Linked DNA regions of Anolis sagrei. The protein of the gene in region 1 purifies or fractionates together with the protein of each later gene. This does not show direct contact. Links are inferred from orthologs where the notes say so. Each region holds a gene or a part of one and is shown in the gene's direction. Other genes may lie near its edges.

The links.
Region 2: the proteins of WWC1 (region 1) and PTPN14 purify together in Homo sapiens (affinity purification with mass spectrometry; 7 studies listed by BioGRID and IntAct, counting the BioPlex papers as one, with this or other methods). This does not show direct contact. The link is inferred for Anolis sagrei from reciprocal best matches to the Homo sapiens genes WWC1 and PTPN14.
Region 3: the proteins of WWC1 (region 1) and AMOT purify together in Homo sapiens (affinity purification with mass spectrometry; 3 studies listed by BioGRID and IntAct, with this or other methods). This does not show direct contact. The link is inferred for Anolis sagrei from reciprocal best matches to the Homo sapiens genes WWC1 and AMOT.

What each region holds. Positions count from the first base shown.
Region 1 is NC_090022.1:105,773,595-105,781,538, reverse strand, and holds the start of WWC1 (protein KIBRA), read left to right. Parts: upstream 1-4,941; 5' UTR 4,942-5,186; coding exon 5,187-5,305; intron 5,306-7,944. UniProt on the Homo sapiens protein: Regulator of the Hippo signaling pathway, also known as the Salvador-Warts-Hippo (SWH) pathway.
Region 2 is NC_090021.1:33,747,871-33,755,662, reverse strand, and holds the start of PTPN14 (tyrosine-protein phosphatase non-receptor type 14), read left to right. Parts: upstream 1-4,760; 5' UTR 4,761-6,010; intron 6,011-7,792. UniProt on the Homo sapiens protein: Protein tyrosine phosphatase which may play a role in the regulation of lymphangiogenesis, cell-cell adhesion, cell-matrix adhesion, cell migration, cell growth and also regulates TGF-beta gene expression, thereby modulating epithelial-mesenchymal transition.
Region 3 is NC_090030.1:33,526,186-33,534,094, reverse strand, and holds the start of AMOT (angiomotin), read left to right. Parts: upstream 1-4,892; 5' UTR 4,893-5,127; intron 5,128-7,909.

The sequences.
Region 1 (7,944 bases):
ATAATGGAGAAAAGCAGGGAGTTTCAGAAAAACATCTACTTCTGCTTCATTGACTATTCTAAAGCCTTTGACTGTGTGGATCATAATAAATTGTGGCAAGTTCTTAGTGGGATGGGCATCCCAAGCCACCTTGTCTCTCTCCTGAGGAATCTGTACAAGGACCAAGTAGCAACAGTCAGAACTGACCACGGAACAACAGACTGGTTCAAGATTGGGAAAGGCGTACGGCAAGGCTGCATCCTCTCACCCAACCTTTTTAACTTGTATGCAGAACACATCATGCGATGTGCGGGGCTGGATGAATGCAAAGCTGGGGTGAAAATTGCTGGAAGAAACATTAACAACCTCAGATATGCAGATGACACCACTCTGATGGCCGAAAGTGAGGAGGAGCTGAGGAACCTTCTAATCAAGGTGAAAGAAGAAAGCGCAAAAGCCGGGTTGCAGCTAAACGTCAAAAAAACCAAGATTATGGCAACAAGAATGATTGACAACTGGGAAATAGAGGGAGAAACCGTGGAGGCCGTGACAGACTTTGTATTTCTAGGTGCAAAGATTACTGCAGATGCAGACTGTGGCCAGGAAATCAGAAGACGCTTACTTCTTGGGAGGAGAGCAATGTCCAATCTCGATAAAATAGTAAAGAGTAGAGACATCAGACTGGCAACAAAGATCCGCCTAGTCAAAGCCATGGTATTCCCTGTAGTCACCTACGGATGTGAGAGCTGGACCTTAGGGAAGGCTGAGCGAAGGAAGATCGATGCTTTTGAACTGTGGTGCTGGAGGAAAGTTCTGAGAGTGCCTTGGACTGCGAGAAGATCCAACCAGTCCATCCTCCAGGAAATAAAGCCCGACTGCTCACTGGAGGGAAAGATACTAGAGACAAAGTTGAAGTACTTTGGCCACATCATGAGGAGACAGGAAAGCCTAGAGAAGACAATTATGCTGGGGAAAGTGGAAGGCAAAAGGAAGAGGGGCCGACCAAGGGCAAGATGGATGGATGGCATCCTTGAAGTGACTGGACTGACCTTGAGAGAGCTGAGGGTGGTAACGGCCGACAGGGAGCTCTGGCGTGGGCTGGTCCATGAGGTCACGAAGAGTCGGAGACGACTGAACGAATGAACAACAACAATGGACTTGTGCTTTGGTCAGAGCTGTCGTTATTACCCAATTACTGGTATTATGATGCTTCGTATTGCACGGTTTCATCGGCATAGGCTGAAAGCATGCACAAGGTTTGCGTTGTGTTGTGGCTGGCTTTTTATAGTCACTGGTTTTGACATTTTTTTTAGACAGTGTTGCACGTATTTTGTATGCAACACTCTAGTATGGTCTAATATGAGAAGTGGTCCATGCAGGTGGCAGAAAACATGACTTAATGACACCACTGTGCGGGTTGGGGAGAGTGTAAGACATTGTAGGTGTGGTAAAGGTAAAGATTTCCCCTTGACATTAAGTCTAATCGTGTCCAACTCTGGGGGTTGGTGCTCATCTCCATTTCTAAACCGAAGAGCCAGTGTTGTTTGTAGATGCCTCCAAGGTCATGTGGCCAGCATGACTGCACAAAGAGCTGTTAACTTCCTACCAGAGTGGTACTTATTGATCTACTCACATTTGCATGTTTTCTAATTACTAGGTTCAAAGCTGGGGCTAACAGCAAGAGCTCATCCCGCTCCCTGGATTCGAACCACTGACCTTTCAGTCAGCAAGTTCAGCAGCTCAGTGGTTTAACTTGCTGCACCACTGGGGATGTAGTAGTCCCAAAATATCCTGTTCAACTCCAAGATCTGTGAAGGGAGATAGGAAAAGAGCACAGAAAAGTAGAGGTGAAGATCGAAGTATTTCCCAAACTCTGAATTCCAAACTGATGGCCAAGGTGGCTGGGATGTTGCGGAGGTGACATGTTTGGGTGCATCTACACCACAAAATGAATGCAGCTTGACACCGCTTTAACTCAAAACAATGGAATTCTGGGAGCTGCAGTTTGGTAAGGCTTCAGCACTTTTGGCCAGATAAACCTAAAGATGCACCTGGAATCCATGCAGTTTGACACTACTTTAAGAGTCACGGCTCCATGCTGTGGAATCCTGAGATTGGCAATTTGATGAGGCACCAGCACTCTTTGGCAGAGAAGGCCAAAGACCTTGTAAAACTACAACTTCCAAGATTTCCATAGCATTGAGCCATGGCAGCTAAAAGTGTTATTCCTTGGGCTTGTTTTCCCCTCCTCCCCAGGTCAATAATTAATGTATTTCTTCACCTGCTGCCAAAAGAATCCCATACCTTGTGTGACTGTGGAGCAGAACAGACAAGGAGGAATTGTTGGAGGCTACAGACAATGTCGTTGCTATTGCCCGTTTTTGGTCAAAAGATATTTAGCCACCTGCACACCTTCTATTTTTTTTTATCAGTTTTATACTAATTTATGCAATGTTTTTGATATGAAATAATAATAACCTGATGCCAAGGGTGCACCTACACTTTTGCTCTCCAGGTGTTTTGGACTTCAACTCCCACAGGATTCTGTTGGAGGCGAAAAATACAGAAAGGGACCTTCTTCCACATGTGCGAATTCCACATGTGCAAATTACAAATTGGTGCAGGTTTATTGGAAAAAAATGATTACGGAAACAAAAACAAAAAAATGATTCACAACAAAGTTTTTAAAAATCCAGGGATGTGCCTTTTAGGGTTATTCAGTCTAGAGCAGCAGGAAAGAGAATTTTGCGAGTTCAGCTTTGAGGCTGCATGCATAACGATTGCCAAAGACTGGAAAGGTGAATGGTGAAGATATCTAGCAATTTGAAACACCAAAGTCATGAAGTTTTAAGAAGAAATTGGAAGCTGGCCATAGCATATTTGACAAGCGTGATTAGTAATGGAAGTCGGGGTGGTGAGCGAACTGGAGGAGGAATGATAGGTAACTAATGTGGGTGGTGGGTTGTCTATATATGTATATGTTTGTATAGGGTTTTTTTAAAATCAGGAGTGACTTGAGAAACTGCAAGTCACTTTTGGTGTAAAATAATTGGATGTCTGCAAGGACGTTGCCAAGGGGACACCCGGATATTTTGATGTTTTACCATCCTTGTGGGAGGCTTCTCTCATGTCCCTGCATGGGGAGCTGTAGCTGACAGAAGGAGCTCATCTGCACTCTCCCTGGATTTGAACCTCCGATCTGTCAGTTTTCAGTCCTTCTGGCACAAGTGTTTAACCCAGTGTGCCACTGGGGGCTCTTTTGTATGAGTGTATTGTAGGTGTTATTGGAGGCCCCAGTGGTGCAGTGGGTTAAATCGCTGAGCTGCTAAATTTGATGACTGAAAGGTTGCAGGCTAGAATCTGGGGAGCAGCATGAGCTCCCGCTGTTAGCCCCAGCTTCTGCCAACCTAGCAGTTCAAAAACATGCAAATGTGAGATCAATAGGTACCACTTCAGTGGGAAGGTAACGGCGCTCCATTCAGTCATGCCGGCCACATGACCTTGGAGGTGTCTACGGAGAACACTGGCTCTTTGACTTAGAAATGGTGATGACCACCAACCCCCAGAGTTGGACACGACTGGAATTAATGTCAGGTAAAAACCTTTACCTATTGTTGGTGTAAAGTAATGATTAAAAAAACCCTTCCACAATTGCTAACAGAATTGTGAGTTGAAATCCAAAACACCCAGAGGATCAACCTACACCAGGGGTCCTCAAACTAAGGCCCGGGGTTCGGATAAGGCCCTCCAAGGTCACTTATCCGGCCCTTGCTCAGGGTCAACCTAAGTCTGCAACGACTTGAAAGCACACAACAACAACAACAATCCTATCTCATCAGCCAAAAGCAGACCCACGCTTTCTATTGAAATACTAATAAGTTTGTATTTGTTTAAATTGTTTTTCATTTTAATTATTGTATTGTTTTAAGATATTTTTTGCACTGCAAATAAGATATGTGCAGTGTGCATAGGAATTCATGCAAGTTTTTTTTTTCAAATTATAATCCGGCCCTCCCAACAGTTTGAGGGACTGTGACCTGGCCCTCTGTTTAAAAAGTTTGAGGACCCCCTGATCTACACCATGGAGGCTCTAGCTCTTTTGGGGAGAAATGGGTCAAGACCTTGTCGAACTGCAACTCCCAATGCAACATAACTAACATGCCATCACTTCACAGAACGCAGAAGCAACAGTAAGGTTGTTCACAAGGAAACAGCCCTCCAACTCAGGCATGGGCGAAGTTGGGCCCACCCTCCAGGTGTTTGGGACTCCAACTCCCACCATTCCTAACAGCCTAAGGCCCTTTTCTTTTCCAAGGGGCCTGAGGCTGTTAGGAATGGTGGGAGTTGGAGTCCCAAACACCTGGAGGGTGGGCCCCATGCCTGCTCCAACTCCACACCAGGTCGGACCAGGGGGGAGCTGCACCTGCTGGGGGGACCTTCCCTTTCCTTTCTGGGGCTGGACCTTCCTCAAGCAGAGGTGGCCAAGCCCGCCTCCTTTCCTTCTTCCTCTCCCTCCTCCCCTCCCCTCCCCTCTCCCTCCCTCCAGGTTGCTCTGCCCGCGAGGCCCGGGCGCGAGGCTGCTCATTCCTTCCTTCTGGGGCTTTGGCGCGAGGCGGCGCTTGCTTGCTTGCTTGCCTCCCTCCCTCCCTCTCTCTTTCTCTCTCAGCACCGCCGCGGCCGTCTTGACGGGAATAGCAGCCTCCCTCACATACTTTGGAAGGTTTTCTTTCTTTCTTTTTTTTTCTTTTTTGGGAAACAAAGTTGCGCCGAGGCGGCTCTGCTACTACCTGTATTACAGTAGCGCCGGCAGAGGAGGCGGGGAGGAGGAGGAGGAGGAGGAAGGAGCCGAGGAGTTGGAGGAGCAGCGGCATTTGGCAGACTGAGGAGGAAGGGGCGAGCAGGCCGGCGGGAAGCGCAGCCTGAGGACTGGCAGGAAGGGGCTCGTGGAGAGAGAGAGACACCTGCGGGGTTCCCGCCGGAGCCTGGCCCCTCCCCCTCCTCCTCCTGCTTGCCGAGGATGCGAGGCGCCCACTCCCGCCTTCCCGACGCGGCCCCTCGCCCCCCGCTTCTGCTGCCGGGCTGGGAGAAGGGTGGTTGCTGCTCCTCCCCCTGCTCCTGCTCCTCCTGGGCCTGCTGAGGGGGCTTTGCATGGGGCCACGGCCGCCTCGGGGCTGGGAGGGAGCTGCGCCCCGCCGCCTCCGCCTAGGATGCCGCGGCCGGGGCTGCCCTTGCCCGAGGGCTGGGAGGAAGCGCGCGACTACGACGGCAAAGTCTACTACATCGACCACGCCACCAAGAGCACCAGCTGGGTCGACCCCAGGGACAGGTGAGGAGGAGGAGGAGGAGGAGGAAGAAAGGGGCGCGCGGGAGGGGGCGGGGAGCCTTGCAGGTGCCTGGGAAGAACCTCGGCACAAAAGCCGCCTCTCCCTCGCGCGCCCGCGCGTGCTCTCTCTCTCTCGTTCTCAGAGAGCCGGACTCTCGTTTAAGCGCGACTCTCAAGCAACCGGCCAAAAGAATTCCTACCGCCTCCGCTCAGCTAGTTTTAATCATAATGTCCTTGAAAGCGCCCTACTTCATTGAGGGCAGCGGTTCTCAACCTTCCTAATACAGTTCCTCATGTTGTCGTGACCCCTCCCCCCCAACCATAAAATTATTTTCGTTGCTACTTCATAACTCTTAATTTTGCGACTGTTTCGGAATCGTAATGTTGAGTGTCTGATATGCAGGATGGATTTTCATCTCATTTTCATTTCAAATTTGGCACAAATATTCGACACACTCAAATTTGAATACTAGTGGGGTTGGTGGGGGTTGGTTTTGTCATTTGGGGGTTGCTAGAATTTATAGTTAACCTACGGAATTGAACGAAACTTGGCACACAGAACTCCCACAACCAACAGAAAGTACTGGAAGGGTATTGGAGTTGTAGTTCACCTGCATCCAGAGAACACTGTGAACTCAAACAGTGATAGATCTGGACCAAACTTGGCATGAATACTCAATATGCCCAAATGATGTTTATTGATTGTTATAATGTTATTCTTTTAACTTGTTTTTAACTGTTTTTATCATGTTTTTTGTATTGTATTTGCTTTGTTAACCGCTCTGAGTTGTCCTGAGGGCTGAGAAGAGCGGTATACAAATATAGTAAATAAATAAATAAATGTGAACACTGGTAGAGTTTGGGGAAAGTAGACAATGACACTTGGGAGTTGTAGTTCACCTGCATCCAGAGAGCACTGTGGACTCAAACAATGATAGATCTGGACTAAAATTGGCACAAATACTCAATATGCCCAAATGTGAACACTGGTGGAGTTTGGGAAAAGTAGACCTTGACAATTGGGAGTTGTAGTTGCTGGGATTTTTAGTTCACCTACAATCAAAGAGCACTCTGAACCCCACCAACAAGAGAATTGGGCCAGACTTCCCATACAGAACCCCCACAAACAACAGAAAATCCTGTGTTTTCTGATGGTCTTTGTGACCCCTCTGATACCCCCCCCTCATGACCCCCCCCCGGGGTCCCGACCCCCAGGTTGAGAAACACTGATTGGGGGAATGGGCAATTGTTGAATTAACCTTTATTTACAAAGTATGCATTCCAACTTTATTAATTGTTATCCCACTTTTCTCCCATGGATAGAATTCAAAGTGGCATACAGTTGTTATAAGCAGCAGTCATTACATAACATACAAATTCAAACTGAGGATGCCTGCCATAGATCCAGGCAAAACATCAGGAGAGAATGCTTCTGAAACATGGCCATACAGCCCAGAAAACTCACAGCAACCTAGTGATTCCAGCCATGAAAGCCTTCGACAATACATTCAATTTTTTTAAAAATCTCAAGCCAAAGAAACAAATTGCCACTACATAAACCATGCAAATGGGCCCCTTGGTGGTGCAGCCGGTTAAATCTCTGAGCTGCTGAACAAACTGACTGAAAGGTCAGCTGTTCAGATCCAGGGAGCAGGGTAAGCTCCCACTATTAGGCCCAGCTTCTGTCAACATAGCAGTTTGAAAACATACAAATGTGAGTAGATCAATAGGTACCGCTTCTGTGGGAAGGAAACAGTACTCCATGCAGTCATGCCAGCCACATGACCTTGGAGGTGTCTATGGACAACACTGGCTCTTCGGCTTAGAAATGGAGATGAGCACCACCTCCCAGAGTCGGACACGACTAGACGTAATGTCAGGGAAAACCTTTACCTTTAAACCATTTATAACTAATTAATAACTTACAACAAATGCCATTAAAATTCACTGAACCTCAGGCCACTGGGGTTATCCATAAAAAGAGTTGTACTAAAATCTTAGGAACTCCGTTTGCATCAGGCCATATAGTAGCATTGCCAAGTTTGAATAACATTCAGAGATTTATATTACCACTAGCTATCTGGTTGTTGTCTATTTTAAGTCATCAGAACAGGCTTGGTTCCACAAAAAGGTTTTAATTTATAAATTAAAGGCCAACAAGGAAGGGGCCAATCACACCTTTCAACATTTATATATATTCCATGTTTAGAGACTTTTGGGGCACCCTATACAGCAGGCATGGGCAAACCTTGGTCCTCCAGGTATTTTGGATTTCCAACTTGCACAGTTGTGGGAGTTGAGGTCCAAAACACCTGGAGGCTGAAGTTTGTCCACGACTGCTATACAGAAAAATAATGTTACCTTCAGATAAGTTTTTCTTCATTTTCTTCATTAGCTGTTTGTTACTGGCTTTCAATTTTAATATCAAGTAAATAAAGAATTTTTAGTCTGGTCTAATATGTGATATTGTATTACTTAAGCTTGCTTTTCATAGTCACCCTCAAGCAACTGGAAACCACATTTATCTGGCCTCTTCCAATCCCCATAGCTGCCAGTTAACTGAGAGGGTGCTGTGTAAAGCAGATGAGCTGGATGGCAACCCTGTTCACTTAAGGACTCAACTCACTTCTGCAGTCATTTTC
Region 2 (7,792 bases), on another chromosome or scaffold:
TACTCTTTGGGATGAGTTTAGCAAGAAGTTGCTTGAAAGGAAAGCCCTACAATTTGTAATTCTATCATCTTACATTCAGTACTGTAATGCTTTAATAGGATTTGCTTCTGCGTAATTATGCCTACCTTAAAGTTGTAATCTTCAACTTTATTCTTATCGTCGAAGGCTTTCATGGCCTGAATCACTGGGTTGCTGTAGGGTTTTTTGTCTGTATGGCCATATTTTAGAGGCATTCTCTCCTGATGTTTCGCCTGCATCTGTGACAGGCATCCTCAGATGTTGTGAGGACCTCACAACTTCTGAGGATGCCTGCCACAGATGCAGGTGAAACGTCAGGATGGAATGCTTCTAGAACATGGCCACACAGCCTGAAAAACCTACAACAACTCAGTGATTCTTATAATTCACATTTCCAAAGAATTTTTGTAAGTTATGGCTACAGTTCTAACTACCATTTACCCTGAAAATTCCATTAACCTCAATAGACTGACTTCTAAGTAGATCTTACAGCACTGCACTGCATATCTCTTGAGTCGTAAATTTAGTCCTGCTGTGCATACACATGTAAATGCAAGTGTGGGGATGCTAAAGTGTCAAATATATTTTGAACACGTGGCATCCTATGTTACAATAGCATTTTCCAAGTTTATCTTTCACAACAAATACCATTGTGTTTGGCTTTTAAGTGAGCAGAGTACAGGTTCCTGTAAAACAAATAAATATAGCGCACAACTGGCAAAACAGAACCTTCAACAATGAGTATGTGTGGGCAACTCACTATCAGAGATGTGTGCTGAGAGCCTATCCCTGTTTTAATCTATGAAAATGTTGGCAAACATGCAGTGATTGTTCCACACTACCGTCATCCTGCATTATCCAATTTCCACAGACTAGGATACAGACTAGGGCCAGGGAATGACTTTGTTGCAGGGCTCTACTGATTTTGTGAAATCAATTTTTCCATCTTTCTCTCTTTTCAGGAAGATTTCCTGTGCAGTGCTGGCACAGTAGAGGGGGAAAAACATTTTCCTAGCAACAAAATACTGTTGTTCAGAGTGTTGGAAATGAGTTGGCTCCTTGCATTAGAACAGTGTTTCTCAACCTTCCTAATGCCGTACCCCTTAATATAGTTCTTCATGTTGTGGTGAACCCCAACCATAAAATTATTTTGGTTGCTACTTCATAATTGCAACTTTACTATTCATATGAATCGTAATGTAAATATGTGTTATGCAGGATGTACTTTCATTCACTGGACCAAATTTGGCACAAATACCCCATACGCCCACATTTGAATACTGGTGGGGTTGGGGGGATTGATTTTGTCATTAGGGAGTTGTAATTGCTGGGATTTATAGTTCACCTACAATCAAAGAGCATTCTGAACTCCACCAATGATGGAAATGAACCAAACTTGGCATACAGAACTCCCATGACCAACAGAAAATACTGGAAGGGTTTGGTGGGCTTGATCTTGGGTTTCAGAGTTGTAGTTCAGCTACATCCAAAGAGCACTGTGGACACAAACAATGATGGATCTGGACTAAGCTTGGCACAAATACTCAATATGCTCAAATATGAAGTTTGGGGAAAATAGACCTTGACATTTGGAAGCTGTAGTTGCTGAGATTTATAGTTCACCTACAATCAAAGAGCATTCTGAACTCCACCAACAATACAATTGGGTCAAACTTCCCACACAGAATCCCCATGACCAACAGAAAATATTGGAGGGATTTGGGAGAAATTGATAGTGATATAGGGGAGAGCATGCCTTATTTAAACAACCAACTATTAAAAATGTAAGGGTCTTTGACAAGGATGGTCAACTATATGGCTGGAATTTGTGTTTTTGTCTCTAGACCCCTGCAAAACTACTAAAAAAGAAAATGTGTATCCATTTATTATTTACTGACATTAAACAAAATGGGATGTGTGTGCCTGTAACATTTTAAAATGTTGTTGCTTCTCCTGGGACACATAATGGAGCAGAGAGAAAAAGGGTGGTTTGGGGAGTCTGGAGGACTCACTGCAAAGGAGGTAAGGACTATACTTCATAGACCAGGGACACTAGAGGAGAGTTTTCAAGGGAAGACTCTTGTTAGTGTGTTGTAACATAAGACTAATATGAGGAAATGATCTAGCAACACTTTGGAGAGTGATATTCCATCATAAACTTTCATGAATTCCAGATTGCTAATCATCTGCATCTGCTGGGCCCATATACAGGTGTATAGTTACCAGGAGATGAAGGCAAAATAGGAGTTCTGCCCTTTATGATTTTCCTTCATTGTGTGCATTTCTAGCATTGCAGAAAATGACACTAAAATGCACTCACAACTAGGACTCTAGAATTTGCTGTCTGCATTCCCTTGACAACTTTGCCTATATGGTCCTTGTATATGTTCGGGTTTAAAATCCAAGGATGCTCCTAGTCCCATTATATGTAATGGCATAGTAAAATTGTACCCCTTATATAAAATGCTCAAATAAAGTGGGTTGTATGACCATGTTCCAGATGTATTCTCTCCTGATGTTTCACTCACATCTACGACAGGCATCCTCAGAGATTGTGAGGTCTGTGGAAACTAGGCAAATGGGGTTTATATATCCATGGAATGTCCATGGTAGGAGAAAGAACTCTTGTCTGTTTAAGGCAATTGTGAATATGTATTGTTGAAGGCTTTCATGGCCAGAATCACTGGGTTGTTGTAGGTTTTTTTGGGCTATATGGCCATGTTCTGGAGGCATTCTCTCCTGATGTTTCACCTGCATCTATGGCAAGCATCTTCAGAGGTAGTGAGGTGATCCTCACTACCTCTGAGGATGCTTGCCATAGATGCATGTGAAATGTCAAAAGAGAATGCCTCTAGAACATGGCCATATAGCCCGAAAAAAACCTACAACAACCCAGTAATTGTGAATGTTGCAATTGGCCACCTTGATTAGCATTGAATAGGCTTGCAGCTTCAAAGCCTTGCTGCTTCCTGCCTGGGGGAATGCTTTGTTGGGAAGTGTTAGCTGATGCTGATTGTTTCCTGTCTGGAATTCCCCTGTATTCTGAGTGTCGAAACATGGCCATACAGTCCAAAAAACTCTCAGCAACCCAGTGATTCCAGCCATGAAAGCCTTCTATAACATGCTAAAATAAAGGTTTGCTTTCTGGAATTCTGGGAATGAAAAGTTTTCAAGCTGTAAATTGTTGAATCCATGGATACAGAAGGCCCATAATATCTTATTTTGGATGCCTAAACTATTTCTATATGCTTAATTTTGAAATTACTACATTGCTAGAATTTATGAGACTGGAGGAGTATTTCATAAGGGAGGGAGAATTATTATATGGAAGGTAATGTTTGCACTTGAACCTCTACATCCTTGCTCAACATCTAATAAAATAAATGGAAGTCCATGAAAACTTATGATGAAAGCTGAGTTTCAGAAATGCCACTCTGATCTGGATGGTCCTAAATGTATTCAAGCTCAATTGCTACAATGAAATGTGTTGTCAAAGACTTTCATGGCTGGAATCACTGGGTTGCTTTGAGTTTTTTGGCCTGTATAGCCATGTTCCAGAAACATTCTCTCCTTACGTTTCACCCACATCTATGGCAGGCATCTTCATACATTGCGAGGACTGTTGGAAACTAAGCAAGTGAGGTTTATATATCTGTGGAATGTCTAGGGTGGGAGAAACAACTTTTAAAACTCGGTTTTACTTCTACGTAAGTAAGGCAGGGCAACAAAACTTGATAAATCTCTCTAACCCAGTGTTTCTCAACCTGGGGGTTGGGACCCCTGGGGGGGTTGTGAGGGGGCGTCAGAGGTGTTGCCAAAGACCATCAGAAAACATAATATTTTCTGTTGGTCATAGGGGTTTCGTGTGGGAAGTTTGGCCCAATTCTCTCCTTGGTGGAGAGAATTGGGCCAAACTCTCCTTGGTGGGATTCAGAATGCTCTTTGGTTGTAGATATACTATAAATCCCAGCAACTACAACTCCAAAATATCAAGTTGATTTCAGTCAAACTCCACCAGTGTTCACATTTGGGCATATTGAATATTAGTGCCAAGTTTGGTTCAGATCCATCATTATTTGAGTCCACAGTGTGCTCTGGATGTAGGTGAACTACAACTCCCAAACTCAAGGTCAATGTCCAGTATCCTCTGTTGGGCATGGGAGTTGTGTGTGCCAAATTTGGTTCAATTCCACCTTTGATGGAGTTCAGAATGCTCTTTGATTGTAGGTGAACTATAAATCCCAGCAACTACAACTCCCAAAAGACAAAATCAACCCCCCCCCCCCGCCCAAACCCTACCAGAATTCAAATTTGGGTGTATTGGGTATTTGTGCAAAATTTGGTCCAGTGAATGAAAATGCATTCTGCATATCAGATATTTACATTACGATTCCAAACAGTAGCAAAATGACAGTTATGAAGTAGCAAGGAAAATAATTTTATGGTTGGGGTTCACAACATGAGGAACTGTATTAAGGGGTCGCGGCATTAAGAAGGTTGAGAACCAAAGGGGCTAAAGTTGGAGAAAGGAGAAGAGAAAGTTGGTGAAAGAGGAGAGCTGGGGCAAAGAAATCGTGCAAGCAAGCCAGCCAGCCACTCCAGGCCTTTGCGCAAAAGGCTGGTCGGAAAGATTTCCCCCGGCTGGCTCTCCGCCCCTTCCTCCAAATGGGTTTCCCCGCCCTTCACGGAGGGCGGGAAACCCCCTTCCTATGGGGCGCCTTCCTCCATCTTCCTCTCCAACTGAAATCCCCAAAAACACAAACCAACCCAGAAGTAGCTCCTCCTTCCCTGATACCTCCGGGCTCTCCCTCTCCTCTGCGCGCAGTCAAGGGGAACCTCCCCAAAGCCTCTATTCCTTGCCCCCCAACCCTTTCCCCGGCTTGGTCCTCCCTTCCCTACTGAGAACTGCCTCGCTAGTCCCTCCTCTCCGTGTAAAACGGAGTCACTCCGGCGCGCCTCCTCGTCTTCTTCCAACTTCTCTCCAAGCTGTGCGTCAGGCTCGCCACTAGAGTTGCGCTCCAGCAAGTACAGAAAGAAAGAAAGAGGGAAAGGAGCTCTCGGGCATTTGGATTCCTAGTTGGTCCCGAGTTCCTTCCCTCCTCCTCCCCTTCTTCCCCTTGGCATTTGGGGGAGGCTTGGCCCGCCTTGGAACAGAGTCAAACTCCGAAAGGCATCCTGGATTTGGGCTCCTTTTGGAGCGCCCCTTCTTTGAGTCGCCTGTGCGTAAAAATACGGAGAGAGAAAGCAAGCAAGCAAGCAAGAGAGAAGTGCTCCCTCCAGGCAAGTCCCCGCCGCCTCCTGCCCTGCAGTGGCTGCTCCGCATTCTTGGCATTCCTGGGCTGTGACTCCGAGGTCGGCGACGGCAAGGAGGCAGGCGGGAGGGCTCTTGCTTCTCCAAGCAGCAGCTCCACGCAGGACCGGGGCCGAGGAAGAGCCACGCGGGAGGGAGGGAGGGAGGGAGGGAGGGAGGACCCACACGCTCTGGACGCCTGCCTTTCTCCATCTAGGCACCAATCCCCTCCTCTCTGCTTGGCTCTCTCCTCCCTCCAGGCTCCCGAACTTCTTCCCTCCTCCAGCACCCTCCCTTCCTGAAGCTCAAACTTCCTACAAACTTTCCTTTGGAGAGCCTTGCGTGTTGCTTCTTCGGGAGGGGGAAAAGAAAGAAAGAAGAGCCCCCCTTTTTTGCTGCTGACTCCTTAGCACCCCAATATCACTCAGTCCTCTTCATTCCCCACCATCCTCCTTTTCTCCCCTTCCTCTTTCTCCCCTTTCCTTCCTAATTTTGGCAAATTCTGTCGGCTCCAACTTGCCCTGTCCCCTTGTTTGGATTCCTTGGCTAAAGCGGAAGCCTCCTTCATCCATCACCGGTGAATCTTGCGGATTTAAAAAAAAGAAATCAAGGCCTAGAGGAAGGAAAGGAGGAGATCTTTGAGAACTATACCTTGAGGAGACGCAGCTGCCTCGAAGGGGTCCCAAACTCATGTGAAAGCAGGTAAGCCTGAGATGCAACAGTTGGGATGCTTGAGTGAGTTGGCTTGGACTTTTTGAGTTTGGAGTTGGTGTAAGCATTAGTAAGGCTCCTCTCTGGTCAGTAAACTTCGTACAACTTCGCTCTGCAGTGTGAGTGTTTTGAGGTTGTTATTGTTTTGCTTTTGATTTAAAAAAAAATGCAAAACCTATAATACAGGAAGAATGCACACAAACCCAGAGCCCTCTGAACTCAGTACTGTTATCGTTCTGTTCTGTATGGTATTGTTTTATGATATGTTTTATTGTGATATGTTTTATTTGATTTTGTTTTGATGCTATCTTATTGTGTTATGTTTTTAACTTTGTACTCCCTGGGCTTGTCCCTTTATAAGCTGCCCCAAGTCCCTTGGGGAGATGGAGGTGGGATATAAAAATAAAGTTGTTGTTGTTGTTATTATTATTATTATTAGTTTAGGTACAGTTTGGGAGTTTCTGGGTTTGAAGTTGATATAAGCCAAGACTAGAGCATGAATCCACTTTAAATCTGGTTTCTGCCTTCAGCAGAATTCTGGGGTTTGCAGTTTAGTTGAAGGTTCCCCCCTAAACTATAATCCCCAGAATTCTGCAGGAGGCAGCAACCGGATTTAAATTGAATTCATTCTCTAGTTTGATGAGTTCTTCAGTAATCTTGGCAGAACTTCTCTGTGAGGTGTGTGGTTTTGGGGTTATTTTGATTTGCATTTTTAAAAAATACAGGAACAGGGCCAGCTATTTATTTATTTACAGTATTTATATACCACTTTTTTTACCCCTGGGGGGACACAAAGTGGTTTCCATAGAAATAGTGACAAAATTCAATGCCTTACCCTAAATCACAATCAACACCATATAACTGAGCATAAAATCAATAAGACAATTCATCATAAGATATAAGGACATTTAAAACATGAAATATAATACTTAAAACGCCTAATAAAAACATAATGCAAGTATGTAGACCATACTCATCATCCCAACAAAGGAATCCCCCAGACAGGAAGCAGCCAAGCCTTGAAGCTGCAAGGCTTTTCAATGCTAATCAAGGTGATCGATTGCAGCATTCACACCTACCTCCAACAGACAAGAGTTCTTTCTCCCACCCTGGGCATTCCACAGATATATAAACCTCACTCGTTCTAATTCCAACAGACCTCACAATCTCTGAGGATGCCTGCCATAGATGTGGGTGAAACGTCAGGAGAGAATTCTTCTGGTACATGGCCATACAGCCCAGAAAACTCACAGCAACCAGTGATTCCTGGCTATGAAAGCCTTCGACAACACATAGTTCGTGTGCAGTTGGGCAGTTTTTGAGTCTCTTTGTGTAAACAAGGTTCTCTGGTCAGTAAACTTGGCACAACACCCCCGGAGGTGTGTGTGTGTTTTGGGATTTTTGTTTTTGCAATTTGAAAAGCACAGGAACAGTTTATGTCCAGTTTGGAAGTTTCTGACTCAGGCGTTGGTGTAAGTAAGGCTCTTTGGTCAATTATCTTGGCACAGCTCTGTTCTGAGGTTTGTGTTTTTGGACTAACTTGCTTTTGCATTTTTGAAAAAAATACAAAACGTATAATGCAGGAACAGTTAATGGGCGGTTTTGGAGACTTATGCCCATCCCTCACTGCCTGAAAATTGTATTTCAGATCTGCTCAGTTAAATGGAAAGGTTGAGCATGCAAAAGGAGTTCTGAAAATAAGTGACCCTTTGAAAGCATTAGCCTCACATGACTTTCCCTTTTTCAACTTGTCCTGTTGCAATGGCATGGGGT
Region 3 (7,909 bases), on another chromosome or scaffold:
TTTTGTAATTGTATGATCTGTATTTTAATGTATTTTATGTAATGATGCATTACGATGCTATTATGTTTATCCTACTTGTGTTTGAATTTCCTGCTGTTAGCCGGCCTGAGTCCCTCTTCGGAGGTTGAGAAGACCGGGTTATCAAAGCTCTAAATAAATAAATAAATATAAATAAATGATAAATGTGTAAGAGCTGGTCATTTTCAAAGGCTTGTTGAAACCACCAGGTCTTCAAGCTCTTACAAAAGGACACAGCATATTATTGGAGAACACAGAAATGCTGGACCACTCTCACAACCACCATGTCAGACTACACAGAGAAGCCATTGACATCCACAAGAAGCAGGTGGACAATTTCAACAGAAAGGAGGAGACCATGAAAAGGAACAAAATCTGGCTACCAGTATTAAAAAAATCTAAAATTGCAACAGCACAACAACAGAGAGGAAAAAAACAAGGACATCTAATCACCTCTCAACAGAAGATTGCTCCAGGCACTGCCAGGCTTTCTTTCCTTCTTTCCTCCCTCCCTTCCTTTTTTAATTCCTCCTTTCCTTTCCTTTTTCTTTCTTTCCTTCCTTCCTTTTTCTTTCCTTCTTTTCTCTTCTTTCATTCCTTCCTTCCTTCCTTCTTTCCTCCCTCCCTTTTTAATTCCTTCCTTCCCTCTTTCTTTCTTTTCTTTCTTTCTCTCATTCCTTCCTTCCCTCTCTCTTTTCTTCCTTCCTTTCCTTCCTTCCTTCTTTCTCTCCTTCCCTTTCTTTCCTCTCATTCCTTCCTTCCCTCTCTCTTCCTTCCTTCCTTCTTTCCTCCCTCCCTTTTTTAATTCCTTCCTTTCCTTTCCTTCCTTCCTTCCCTTTCTTTCCTCTCATTCCTTCCTTCCCTCTCTCTTTTCTTCCTTCCTTCCTTCTTTCTCTCCTTCCTTCCTTCCCTCCCTTTCTTTCATTCTCTCATTCCTTCCTTTCCTCCCTCTTTTCTTTTCTTCCTTCCTTCCTTCTTTCCTCCCTCCCTTCCTTTTTTAATTCCTCCTTTCCTTTCCTTTTTCTTTCTTTCTTTCTCTCCTTCCTTCCTTCTTTCCTCCTTTCCTTTTTGAATCCTTTCCTTCCTTCCTTCCTCCTTTCCTTCCCTCTTTCTTTCTCTCATTCCTTCCTTCCCTCCCTCTTTTCTTCCTCCCTTCTTTAATTCCTTCCTTCCTTCCTTCCTCCTTTCCTTCCCTTCCCTTTCATTCCCTTTTTCCCCAGGCACTGTCAGGCCATCAAATGCTAATGAAGGTGGTCAGCTGAAACATTCACACCTAGCTCCAGCAGACAAGAGTCCTTTGTCCCACCCCGGTCATTCCACAGATATATAAACCCATTTTCCTACTTCCAACAGACCTCACTACCTCTGAGGATGCTTGCCATAGATGCAGGCGAAACGTCAGGAGAGAATGCCTCTAGACCATAGCCATATAGCCCGAAAGACCTACAACCACTTTCATTCAGGGACCATTTCATCCTAGATGTCCTGTTCTTTCTCTCTCCAGAATTGACATCCCAGGGTTCCTTTCTCTCTCCCAATTTGCACAACCCCACCCACTACCTCTCATTTAACCCTTTCCTGCCCATTCCATCCCCGTTCTTAACTAGGAGTCACTTGCCACCTGAGGGTGACCCTCAATGCCTTCCACCTACATCTGCAATAGCAACAAAGCACCACGAGAGGGCGACAAGAGCATTTTCACCACATTTTTCATATTTTTTCATAATTATTATGATTATAACCACGGCAATTTCAGCAGACTCTCGGTGAACCCAAAACAACAACGACAACGGCTCAATGCCATAACAATAGCAATGCCCCCACTTTTTCCCCCCACGGTTGAGATCCAAGGCAACTCACAACTTTAAAACCCAATCGCCTTGCAGCTGCAAAGTCAATCAGTGAGGGTATCTGCAGAGATGTAGGCTAGCTGTTGTTGCCCAGAGGAACTCTCTGTGGAATGATGTCCAGGGTGGGAGAAAGAACCCTTGTCTGTTTGAATCAAGTGTGAATTTTGTAATTAGTCAGTTGGAAAAGCATTGAGTAGCCTTGCAGCGAAAAAGTCAATCAGTGAGGGTATCTGCATAGAGGTGGGCTGGATGTTGTTGCCTGGAGGAACTCTCTGTGGAATGATGTCCAGGGTGGGAGAAAAAACCCTTATCTGTTTGAATCAAGTGTGAATTTTGTAATTAGTCAGTTTGAATAGCACTCAATCGCCTTGCAGCTGCAAAGTCAACCAGTGAGGGTATATGCATAGAGGTAGGCTGGCTGTTCTGGCCCGGAGGAACCCTCTGTTGAATGATGTCCAGGGTGGGAGAAAGAACCCTTGTCTGTTTGAATCAAGTGTGAATGTTGTAATTAGTCAGTTTGAATAGCATTGAATCGCCTTGCAGCTGCAAAGTCAATCAGTGAGGGTATCTGCATAAAGGTGGCCTGGATGTTGTTGCCCAGAGAAACCCTCTGCGGAATGATGTCCAGGGTGGAAGAAAGAACCCTTGTCTGTTTGAATCAAGTGTGAATGTTGTAATTACTCAGTTTGAAGAGCACTGAATCACCTTGCAGCTGCAAAGTCAATCAGTGAGGGTATCTGCATAGAGGGAAGCAAGGTGGGTTCCTCCTCCTTTTCCTCCCTTCTTTCTCTCTTTTCCTGGCTGAGCTTAAGAGAAGCAAAGAGAAGGGAAGAAGCAGAGGGAAGCAAGGCAGGATCCTCCTTCTCCTTCTCTTCTTTCCTGGTGAAGGGAAGCAAAGGGAAAAGAAGAAGCAGAGGGAAGCAAGTTGGGTTCCTCCTCCTTCTCTTCCTCCCTTCTTTCCCTCTTTTCTTGCTGATCTCTAGGGAAGCAAAGAAAAGGGAAGAAGGAAGCAAGGCAGGATCCTCCTCCTCTTCCTCCTCCTTCTCTCCCTGGTTGTGTTCAAGGGAAGCAAAGAGAAGGGAAGAAGCAGAGGGAAGCAAGGCAGGATCCTCCTCCTCCACTTCTTCTTCTTCCTCCTCCTCTTCTTCCTCCCTTCTTTCCCTCTTTTCTGGCTGAGCTCTAGGGAAGCAAAGGAAAGGGAAGAAAGAAGCAAGGCAGGATACTCCTCCTCCTTCTCTTCCTTCTCTCCCTGGTTGAGTTCAAGGGAAGCAAAGAGAAGGGAAGAAGCAGAGGGAAGCAAGGCAGGATCCTCCTCCTCCACTTCCTCTTCCTCCTCCTCCACCACCACCACTTCTTCCTCCTCTTCTTCTTCACTTCTTTCCTGGCTGAACTCAAGAGAGACAAAGAGAAGGGAAAAAGTAGAGACAGGCAAAGCAGGATCCTCCTCCACCACTTCCTCCTCCTCCTCCTCCTCCTCCACCCCCACTTCTTCTTCCTCCTCCTCTTCTTCATTTCTTCCCTGGCTGAACTCAAGAGGGACAAAGAGAAGGGAAACAGTAGAGACAGGCAAGACAGGATCCTTCTCTTCCTCCTCCTCTTCCTCCCTTCTCTCCCTCTCTTCTGGCTGAGTTCAAGAGAAGCAAAGAAAGGGAAGAAGGAGCAAGGCGGGAACCTCCTCCTCTTCTCCTCCTCTTCCTCCCTTCTCTCCCTCTTTTCCTGGCTGAGCTCAAGGGAAGCAAAGAGAAAAGAAGAAGCAGAGGGAAGCAAGGCAGGATCCTCCTCCTCCACTTCTTCCTCCTCCTCCTCTTCTTCACTTCTTTCCTGGCTGAGTTCAAGGGAAGGAAAGGGAAGGGAAGAAGCAGGGGGAAGCAAGACAGGATCCTCCTCCTCCACTTCTTCTTCACTTCTTTCCTGGCTGAGCACGAGAGGAACAAAGAGAAGGGAAACAGTAGAGGGAGGCAAGGCAGGATCCCCCTCTTCTTCCTCCTCCTTCTCTTCAAGGGAAGCAAAGAGAAGGGAAGAAGCAGAGGGAAGCAAGGCAGGATCCTCTTCCTCCTTCTCTTCTTTCCTGGCGAAGAGAAGCAAAGGGAAAAGAAGAAGCAGAGGGAAGCAAATTGGGTTCCTCCTCCTCTTTCTCCTCCTTCTTTTCCTCCCTTCTTTTCCTGTTTTCTGGCTGAGCTCTAGGGAAGCAAAGGAAAGGGAAGAAGGAAGCAAGGCAGGATCCTCCTCCTCCTTCTCTTCTTTCCTGGCGAAGGGAAGCAAAGGGAAAAGAAGAAGAAGAGGGAAGCAAGGCAGGATTCTCCTCCTCCACTTCCTCCTCCTCCTCCTCCTCCTCTTCACTTCTTTCCTGGCTGAGTTCAAGGGAAGCAAAGAGAAGAGAAGAAGCAGAGAGAAGCAACCTCCTCCTCCACTTCTTCCTCCTCCTCTTCTTCTTCACTTCTTTCCTGGCTGAACTCAAGAGGGACAAAGAGAAGGGAAACAGTAGAGGGAGGCAAGGCAGGATCCCCCTCTTCTTCCTCCTCCTTCTCTTCCTTCTCTCCCTGGCTGAGTTCAAGGGAAGCAAAGAGAAGGGAAGAAGCAGAGAGAAGCAAGGCAGGATCCTCCTCCTCCTCCACTTCCTCCTCCTCCTCCACTTCTTCTTCTTCCTCCTCCTCCTCTTCTTCACTTCCTTCCTGGCTGAGCTCAAGAGGGACAAAGAGAAGGGAAACAGTAGAGGGAGGCAAGGCAGGATCCCCCTCTTCTTCCTCCTCCTTCTCTTCCTTCTCTCCCTGGCTGAGTTCAAGGGAAGCAAAGAGAAGGGAAGAAGCAGAGAGAAGCAAGGCAGGATCCTCCTCCTCCTCCACTTCCTCCTCCTCCTCCACTTCTTCTTCTTCCTCCTCCTCCTCTTCTTCACTTCCTTCCTGGCTGAGCTCAAGAGGGACAAAGAGAAGGGAAACAGTAGAGGGAGGCAAGGCAGGACCCCCCTCTTCTTCCTCCTCCTCTTTCTCTTCTTCCTTCCTTTCCCTCCTTTCCTGGCGCCCTTTCAAGGGGCGTGAAGGGAAATCAAGAAGCAGAGGGGGGGGGTCTAGGCGGGCTCCTCCTCCTCCTCTTCCTCCTCCCCTCCTCTTCCTCTTTCTCCTCCTCCTCTTCCTCCTCTTCAGTTGCCTCTTCCTCCCTTCCCTTCCCTCCCTTCCTTCCTCCCCCCTGGACTCAGAAATGGACCCTCCCTTCTCCTTGACCTTCGAAGCCTTCTCTCTCTGCCTTGGAAGGACCCCAAAAGGTAGGGATTGAGAGGGGGGGGGCTTGGAAGGGGGCTTGCTTTCCACCCCCCTGGGAACTGTTTCCGCCCTTTCCAACCTCCCTTTGTCCCTCTCCTGGACCTCTCTTTGCATGCAAACCACGCGAGATCCAGAGTGGGGGGGGGGGGGGGGGGAAGGAACTTCCTCCACTTTCCCAGGAACTTGGCGGAGAGTTCCCCTTGTTCTTCTGTGGGATACAAAATATAAAAAAGGAGCAACATCTATCCATTAGAGAGATATATTGTTTCCCCCAAACAGATCTATTGAAACATTCTATCCAATGTGTTGTTGAAGTTTTTCATGGTTGTTGTGAATTTTCTCGGCTGTCTGGCCCTGTTCCAGAAGCACTCTCCCCTGACGTTTCACCCATATCTATGGCAGGCATTCTCAGAGGTTGTGAGGTCTGTTGGGAACTAGGAAAAGGGGGTTTCACAGATATATCATAGAATCAAAGAGTTGGAAGAGACCTCCTGGGTCATCCAGTCCAACCCCATTCTGCCAAGAAGCAGGAATATTGCATTCAAATCACCCCAGACAGATGGCCATCCAGCCTCTGTTTAAAAAGCCTCCAAAGAAGGAGCCTCCACCACACTCCGAGGCAGAGAGTTCCCTACAGGTGTTGGCTATTTGTTTGAATTCTTCTTTGGTGATTTCTCCCTTTTTCCACTTCTTGTGCATGTCTCTTTTGTGTTTTAGCACAGTTAGAAGTTAAGTTCTTGTGGGTTTCTTCGGGCTATATGGCCATGTTCTAGAGGCATTTCTCCTGACGTTTCGCCTGCATCTATGGCAAGCATCCTCAGAGGTGAGGTCTGTTGGAACTGGGGGAAAGGGTTTATATATCTGTGGAATAACCAGGGTGAGACAAAGGACTTTTGTCAGTTGGGCTAGGTGTGAATATTTCAACTGACCACCTTGATTAGCATACAATGGGCTGACTATGCCTGGAGCAAACTCTTCTCGAAAGGTAATTAGATGTCCCTGCCTGTTTCCTCTCTGCTGTTTTTGCTGTTGCAGTTAGAAGTTCTTTGGACATCCATTCTGGCTTCTTTGCACTTGTCCTATTTTTTCTCTTTGTTGGCACAGTTTGCAATTGCGCCTTGAGTATTTCCACTGCTGAACGGCTCTCACAGTCAGGAAGTTCTTCCTCATGTTCAGATGGAATCTCCTCTCTTGTAGTTTGAAGCCATTGTTTCGCGTCCTACTCTCCAGGGAAGCAGAAAACAAGCTTGCTCCCTCCTCCCTGTGGCTTCCTCTCACATATTTATACATGGCTATCATATCTCCTCTCAGCCTTCTCTTCTTCAGGCTAAACATGCCCTTAAGCCGCTCCTCATAGGGTGTGTTCTCCAGACCCTTGATCATTTTAGTCGCCCACTTTGTCCTAGTTTCCAACAGACCTCACAACCTCTGAGGATGCCTGCTATAGATGCGGGTGAAAGGTCAAGAGAGTAAATATTAATAATAATAATAATAATAATAATAATAAAGCTTTATTTAAGACTCTGTGCAGCACCAACCAAGGCCTGGAGGGAGGGGAGGTGGAGTCGCAGTGGTCTATAAGGATTTTATCCCCCTGATCAGGTGCCCCATCCCACAGTCATCTTCCTTTGAGTGTGCCGGCTTTAGGATAGGTGACCGGGACAGGATAGGGATTCTGTTAGTGTACCGACCACCCCGCTGCACAACAGTCTCCTTATCTGAGCTAGCAGGAGTGGTCTCGGATTTGGCTTTATAATAAAGCTTTATTTAAGTCTCTTCTGCTGTGTTCTCCAGTATTTTTATGAGTGATGGTCACTCGTTGGCCTGATCGGTGTCTTGTGTCCAAATTTGGTGTCAATTCGTCCAGTGGTTTTTGAGTTATGTTCGTCCCGCAAACTAGCACTACATTTTTATTTATATAGATTCTATTATTATTCTATTATTATTATTATTATTATTATTATTTTACCTGTCCGAACGCATCTCCTCCTATGAACCAACTAGGACATTAAGATCATCTGGGGAGGTCCTGCTCTCAGTCCCGCCTGCATCACAGGCACGCCTGGTGGGATAAGAGTGAGGGCCTTCTCAGTGGTGGCCCCTCGGCTGTGGAACGCCCTTCCTACAGATATAAGATCGGACCCCTCCTTATTGGCATTTCGGAGGAAAGTGAAGACCTGGTTGTTTGAACAAGCATTCAATTAAGCAGTGTAATTGAATATAGGAACGTGGAATAACGGACAATGAGATTGGATTCTGATTCTAGTGATGGGACGCGATTGATTTGTTATATTGATGTTTAATTGTTGTTATGCTATTGTTTTAATTTAATTGTTTTGTAATGTTTAGCATTGAATTTTGCTGCTGTTAACCACTTTGAGTCACCTAAGGGCTGAGAAAAGCGGTATATAAATAAATAAATGTATTATTATTATATATTTATTATTTATATTATTCTATGTTATTATTATTATATTTCTATGACCCCACCACCATCTTCCCACAGGGACTTGGGGCAGCTTACATGAGGCCAAGCCCAGCAACAATATAAAACAATATAACAGAACACATCAATACAATCTATATAAATAAAAATGTAATGTTCGTTTGTGGTATTCACAGAACTCAAAAACCACCGGAGGAATTGCCACCAAATTTGGACACAAGACACCTAACAACCCAATGTATGTCCTTCACTCAAAAAATTGATTTTGTCATTTGGGAGTTGTAGTTGCTGGGATTTATAGTTCACCTACAATCAAAGAGCATTCTGAACCCCACCAA